2 linked regions of the Danio rerio genome follow. Each later gene encodes a partner of the first gene's protein in a complex. Links are inferred from orthologs where the notes say so. Each region holds a gene or a part of one and is shown on either strand. Other genes may lie near its edges.

The links. Proteins that work in one complex are often made in the same cells at the same time.
Region 2: g3bp1 (region 1) and elavl4 share a complex: the UniProt entries of both Homo sapiens proteins name them as parts of the TAU mRNP complex. The link is inferred for Danio rerio from reciprocal best matches to the Homo sapiens genes G3BP1 and ELAVL4.

The regions. Positions count from the first base shown.
Region 1 is NC_133189.1:30,202,999-30,206,655, reverse strand, and holds part of g3bp1 (ras GTPase-activating protein-binding protein 1), read left to right. Parts: intron 1-2,011; coding exon 2,012-2,102; intron 2,103-2,208; coding exon 2,209-2,299; intron 2,300-3,337; coding exon 3,338-3,548; intron 3,549-3,657. UniProt on the Homo sapiens protein: Protein involved in various processes, such as stress granule formation and innate immunity. Plays an essential role in stress granule formation.
Region 2 is NC_133183.1:17,770,503-17,774,259, reverse strand, and holds the start of elavl4 (ELAV-like protein 4), read right to left. Parts: upstream 2,255-3,757; 5' UTR 1,775-2,254; coding exon 1,727-1,774; exon of another isoform or gene 1,170-1,726; coding exon of another isoform or gene 1,041-1,169; intron 1-1,040. UniProt on the Homo sapiens protein: RNA-binding protein that is involved in the post-transcriptional regulation of mRNAs. Plays a role in the regulation of mRNA stability, alternative splicing and translation.

The sequences.
Region 1 (3,657 bases):
ACATGAAGTGTCCTGAACATTAATAGAACATTGAGTGAAGATTATGAACAGTTCTTCTGAACATGGCATCTTTTGCCTACTCCTTGCTGCCAGAGACTTGACAGTGCTTCTCACAAATCTGAACCACATTTGGCTTTAGAGCGGAAGCAGTTGAGACCCTCAGTATGGCTTGCGGGAACTCACTCAAAACTTCCATTCCCTCACCTAAAAAAAAGGCGTATATATGTATAAATAAAACACCCCCACCCCACTCCAGTCACATCAGTTTGTACCAGTCTGTATCTACCTATAATATATATAAGATGCAGGCTATAGCTAGGTAGGTGGCAGGATGCAGATAGGTAGCTAAGTGGCAGGCAGGGGCGGGAACAGCTTACCTTGGTTCTGGCCGGCGCGAGTTCCCTCCTACACTGACGTCACAGCTCTCTCTCCCCGCTCCGCTGATTCTGTCAGTGTACAGCGGTCGGCGCGGGCCACAAAATATTGCACTGAGGGCCGCAAATGGCCCGCGGGCCGCGAGTTTGAGACCCCTGATTTAAAGGATTAGTTCAACCAAAAATAAAAATGATTAATTCGTTCCAATCCCATTGGACTTTCATTCATCTTCAAAACACAATTTAAGATGCTTTAGATTGAGTTCTGAGAGCTTTCAGACCGTCTTTAAAAACCAAGAGTTGTGAGATTTTCAAATTTCAGAAAAGAAACCAAAAGCATTACATATGACTTCACTGGTTCGACTGTAAATATATGAAGCTACAAGAACACGTGTGCTAAATAAAACTGTAAACATGACATTTACCAATGTTTTTTTTTTTTTTTACTTTGTTAGTTAGTCAGGGTGCATGTTTAATAAGGAGATATGTGTTTTATGATATGGAGATGAGTAAAGTCAGCAGTGCTACACGCAAGCATTGTTTTGCATGCAATAAACATGCACTGGGGACTTGACATGGCTGAAGAGGACATAAATGAGTTTTCATTTCAATGAACTTACCCTTTAATAAAAGTAGTGTTCAGATTTAGTTAAACTCATAATTTTTATATACATTTGTATATTTTAGGATTGTAATGTATGTCAGAATAAAACAAAATGATTGAGAAATATAGACGTTAGGGCTTAGTGTTTTGCTTTAATTATTGTGCATCATCGATAGAGTTGACCAGTTACAAGTTTTTTTGTAAAGATTAACATGCTTTGAGAATACTCAACTAGTGATATTAATGGTCATGACTTTGATTTATTTAATTTGACCATTTCCTTTTTACTTAACGGATAATTTGCATTTAATGCGTGTTCGTTAATGTACATACTCATATCCTTTTATTACATTTTAAATATAAAGATCAAGCATATGAACTGACTGCAATATTTCAAGATAGTGTACCACTAATTGACCACTAAACCTTCCAGATTGATAGAGTGGTTTTATTTTTATGAAGAGTATCATCCAGTGATTCTAGAAAGTGTCTTAATATAACACCTCCATATCTAATTTTCAGCACATGCTGATTCAAGGGCAATGATTTAAGATGTCTTGACCAAACAGTCAGCAGTCCTTTGATTCCGTATGGGAAGCTATTGGTTTGAAACTGCAAACTATTCTAAAATAATATTCTTTTGTATTTATACATTTTTTACAGAGAATTGTTCATTAAATACTAATATGCACAGGTGAATGGGGTCAGTGATTGTGTACTTGTATTTTGAAATGTTTGGCTTAAATTTGCTTGCTATAAGGTCTAGTTTGTGTCCTCCCTAATTCTGTAGAATATCTTCAGTCCTTCAAATAAGCAATTTTTTTTTTACATTGAGCTGTGGTATTCAGTGCATTTGTTCAATTAAGATTTTCTAGTTATTTGAAGCCCTGAAAAGAATTAGCTGTTTTTTTATTTTTTATTTTTTTTTATTACTTGTGCAAGTCATTAGGGGTTGCTTACTAAATGAGGCACATAGCTTTTTTTCTTACTATTTTTTAGTTTTTTTATTCTTATTATTGTTTTGATCTTTTAGGGAACTGTTGCAAACAAGTTCTACGTACACAATGATATCTTCCGGTACCAGGATGAAGTGTTTGGGGACTCTGACTCAGAACCTCCTGAGGGTAAACCGCTGATATATTGTGGTATTTCTAGCATATTTGGAGTAATCTGTCTCCCAATTGCTCTCGCTGTGAGCAGATGAGTTCATTCATCTCCTGTTGTTCACAGAATCTGAGGAGGATGTGGAGGAGCTGGAGCGAGTGCACTCACCTGAGGTGGTCCAAGAGGAGTCTTCTGGGTATTACGAACAGACACCATGGTAATTTGTATTGAGTTTTGCAGCTCATTTAATCGTTCAGTTTGGCAACCATTCGAAAGGCAGGGTACAAATCATGCAGGTGTGTCAAGTCAAAACAAAATACACTCAAGTTTTGTCATTAACCTTAGTAAGCCCAAGTTACTGCAGGTTTAAATGTTTCTATTGGAATACTAGACTTTACAAGGTCTTCAAGGTGTTCAAAGCCTTTCTGGAATATCGGAGTTTTAAAAGGTGTATTCCAGAGGGTGAAAATCAGTGATGATGCCAATTCTAATTAAAGAGTTAATGACTTTGATTGGCAGAAAACTTTCTAATAATATGCATCAATGGTTGATTAATTTCTTGTTTTGCTGTAAAAAGGTACACATTTAAACCTCTTTTTCATAAAATTGTACCTCCACTATTAGTCTGTTTTATATAATTAGAACAATGAGATGATGACACTACCTTTTATCATATAAAGCGTACTACATGTTTTATAAATGAAATATTCTAGAAGGTCAAAATAAATAGCATTTAATTTTATCAACAACAGGATTATATTATTATTACAGCACTATATTAAAATGGAGCATTCAGTACAAAGATGGCCTTCCAATAAGCTTTGGCTGTATGTGTTTCTTTAATGTCATATGTCACGCACTGTTGTGCTTTGTCAACTTTCACACAGTGGATAAGTGCTTTATATATGCAGATCTAATGCAATTTAATATAAAACTATGCAGAATGTATTTAAACCATGTCCTTGCTGGCTAGATGATATCTGCTGCAGCTCTTATAGAGCTTCAAAGCAAGCTACTCTAAAATATCCGTCATTTATTTAGCATTAAATTCAGTTATTACCTAATCCCTAAAATCTGCAGGGAAACAACAGCTGCATCTTTTTCTATTCATTATAAGTAATGGATATCAGCTTTTTAATCAGGGAACTTGGCATTTTAGTTTAGAGTGGGAACCCTCTCTTAAGTATGATGCACATTTGAAAAACCGGTAAAGATTTGCTGAGTTGTGTCTTAATACACATTTGTGCAATTACAGTGTAGAGCCTGAGGTGCCCCAGGAAGAGGTGTCTGTAACCCCAGAGCCCCAGCCTGAACCAGAAGTGGAGGTGGAGCCGGAGCCAGCAGCTGTGGAGCTGAAAGCAGAGCCCATCAGCCAGCCTGAGGTTCATGTTGAGGAAAAGACTCAGAGATCTCCCCCATCGCCCACACCTGCTGACACCGCACCCACCATGCCAGAGGACAACCGGGTAAGACCACCCTCATTAATCACTGTCTTTTAGGTCCCTCTTGTCAACATGACCTGTACAGTCATTGCAGAAAGGACAAGAAAGGTCACCTGTAAAGTCAGATGCTTCT
Region 2 (3,757 bases), on another chromosome or scaffold:
AGAAGGGTTTAAAAACCTGCTCTCTCTGCCTAAAACCATCCAGCTGCATGCGATCGCAGTGTATGTGTGTGTGTGTTTTTTCACTGGCAGAGGAGCTCCAGTGCTGTCAGTATGAGTCTGATTTGTGTGAGAATGTGGTGCGGCTCCAGGCAGGCAGGCTGATCCTGTTTTGTGGAGACGAGGAACGAGAGCCCATCACAGATTAGACACCCACAGTTTCGTGTCGATTTAATGCACCAAGTCAGGGATTTATTCTTAACCGACCGGCGCTTACAGCACCAGCCAGCCAGCCAGGGCTTTCCCATACAGCCATCTCTCTTCCCCCCCAAGACTGTAGTAGAAGATCAAAAATGACTGAATGAGAACATAAGGATGAATACCCACTATCAGAGCTCCAGACTTAAGTGAAAACACATTCATTATAATCAGGAAAAGCCTTAGCCAGCTATTTATCTGCAAGTTAGGCCACCTATCAGTGGAGAAATGAAACTGAAGTTTTATTTTTGATGCTACAAATTAAAGAAGAAACACAGCAGAGCCACTGGCATATTGTTTAAGTTGAGCTAGTCTTGTAACTGACTGTTAATATCCAGGCATATGTTTTGCACAGCACCACACATTCAGAAAGTTGTTTAAAATTCCAAATGACACCCGAAACAAAATGAACGTGCAAAAAAATCTGTCCTTTAGCCATCTAAACGCACTATGCTCAAATGACTTAAAGCATACGCACTCACATACACACGCGGCGCACTTTCAATTTCAGGCATCAGTACACCACGGCACAAACACATTCTGAGCAGGAATACACAAACAATACACTTGCACAAGCTGCTTTTTCTCTCGCAATCTGTCTCACTTTCTATTTCTCTCTGGCTAACTGATAGAAAGATCTAGTCTTAGTGGGCGGCCGTATCATCACACAATGAGGCATGAAAACATCGGCTAATTCAAGCCTTAGGGCTGCACACATTTACCTAAATGAAGTTAGTGTTCTACTGTGCCATCTATTTTTCTCGTTCATCAGTCTATCCTCTTACCCCCAGTGCCCTGGCCCCCAGTTGGCTGGATGGATCTCGGGGGAAAAGCAGCGAGCCCATGCCTGGGAAGGAGCCTTCCGCCTGGGCTGCTGCCGAGTTCTGTGAACACCTTACCATCATCTTCAGACACTGCTCGCGAGGTGCGCGTTTACAGGGAAGAGGAGAAAAGAAGAGAAGAGGAGAAGAACAGAATGCTAGCCAAGGTGGTAACCAAATATACAGGCTAAAGAAAAAGCAAGTGGCGAAAGGAAAAGAGAAAACTGAACTGCCACAGTGATAAAGAGCCGAGTGCTTACGTTCACATTTACCCTGCACACACACACACAAACAGACACACACACAGTCAGTGCAAGCCCCAGATGGGCAAGTCATCAAGCAAGCTCAGCAGTTACAGCTATCTTGCTTTGAGTAAATGAGAAAATGAAATGATTGTGCGTGGGAGAGGGAGAGAGAGAGAGCGAGTCTAGTCTCTCATCCATTACAGTACGCCCGGAGAGCAAAGAGGTTCTGCCTTCAGCTAGCAGCCGTTTAACTGGACCTAAATGCTCAATCCCTGCACATTCATTTAGACCTGCCACATTTAGAAGCATGATCAAACATAGAAACGTTACGCACAACGTAATAATGAACACACACTTAGAGAAGTGAGGTGACAGAAGAAGAAGAAGAAAATCCGATTCCTTTACCTCATTGCTCAACAAAGCAGCGTTCAGTGTTCGGCTGATTTCAAACATCTTGTTGGTGGTGTTTCGTTTCTTGTCGCTTTGTTGCGGGGCTTTCTTTTTGGCGTTCTCCTGGCTCTACGGCTCCTTTTTCTTTACTGGAAATGGGAATCAGTCCCGAGAAATAAAAAAAGAAAGAAAAATGAACAGATTAAAAAAAAGAAGAAAAGGAAGGAGAAATCCTCTATATGTGCTGTCTGGCTGGATGTATTCTCTCCTCTCTTGCGCCCGTGTTTTCTGGTGCACCTCTTGTTAAATGTGGCGCTTGTGCCCTGGCTCACGCCGCACGACTGAAGAGTCAATATTTTTTTTTTTTAGCTCCCCAGAGTCAGCACATTAAAACAAGCAGTCGGTCTGCCGGGCTTCTTCCCTTATCTGTCCTCCACACACTCGCTCGCACAATGCGTTCCGATCCTCACACTGCTCTCTAGCAGATTAGTTCGTCCCAAAACATAGCTCTTAGTTTAAACTCCTCTCTCTCTCTCTCCATCCCTCAACCCTTTCTCTTTCTCTCCTTCCTTGCTCCCTCCCTTCCTCACACTCACTCCCTCTCTCTCACTCTCTCTATCTCTCTTTACCCCCACCCCACCCTCCACTCGCTCCCTCTCTCTATTTCTCGATCACGCTCTCCTGCAGTTACAGTTCACAGTGTTACCACAAGGTGGGAAGACTGTTCATAACAGACATGACACAGGCACATCTGCCTTTCCTGGCTCATCTTTTTCTCTCTGTTTGGCTTCACGGCTCTCCTCCTGCTGCTTGCGGGGAACACATGATCGCTTTGGCACCCGCACACCTCCATTCTACTCTCCCCTGGCTCCCCCCTGTTCCTCCATCGCTTTGCAACAGCCGCATTTGATGTATGGCAGAGAACAGGGCTGATTTATAGACCAATAGCATTAGGAAAACTTTGACCAGTGGCACCTAGCCGGAGAAAACCCCTCCTGAGATGTTCCCGGAGGATATTTGCGAAACGGGCATGCCTCTTTCTCTGAAATGGCAGCAGAGAAAGATATTGGTGAATTCGATTTTCAAGCTGCAGTTGCCCCAAAAGGCGTTTAGACTCTTATGTATCAAGTCAGTGTATATAAATGCCACTACATTATGTAATGAAATATCAAACCAAGTGGTATTTATCTTAATGAAAGAATCCACTGAATGTTAACGGAATGTACATAGCTTGTGAACGATGCTTTTGTGTGCTAATGAGACATGACCTTGGTTCATTCTGAAAGGTCTAGATACATTTGGCACTTGGTTTCAAACTGTGTTTGAGGCAGTGGTGTTGATGATACATTTAGTTGTATAGTATAGTACAGTTTATACATTTTTACATGTGGTTTGGTGTAAATAGCTTTTAGAGCTGTTGTATATACAGTATATAGTACAGTTTATACATTATGTGGTTTGGTGAAGGAGTCTGATCTTAAAAATTGCTTGTGGAATTTGCTATAATATTTGGTTAGACTTTACAATAAGGTTGAATTAGGTAATAGTAGTTAATGTATTTACTAACATGAACAAGCAACGACCAATGCATTTATTACAATATGTATTCATATTTGTTAACGTTAATTCATTCGTTCATTTTCTTTTCGGCTTGGTCCCTTTTTTAATCACAGGTCGCCACAGTGGAATGAACTGCTAAATTATCCAGCATATTTTTTACTCAGTGGATGACCTTCCAGCGGCAACCTATCACTAAGAAACTCCCATACACTCTTATTTACACACATACACTATGGCCAATTTAGTTTTAATTAATTCAATTCACCCATAGCAATGTTATTGGACTGTGGAGGGAACTACAGCACCTGGAGGAAACCTACGCTTACATTAAAAAACATGCAAACACCACACAGAAATGCCAACTTAGCTAGCCAGGGCTCGAATCAGTGACCTTCTTGCTGTGAAGTGACATTGCTAGCCACTGTGCCACCGCACCACCCCCATTTGTTAACGTTAGTTATTCATCTATTCATTCATTTTCTTTTC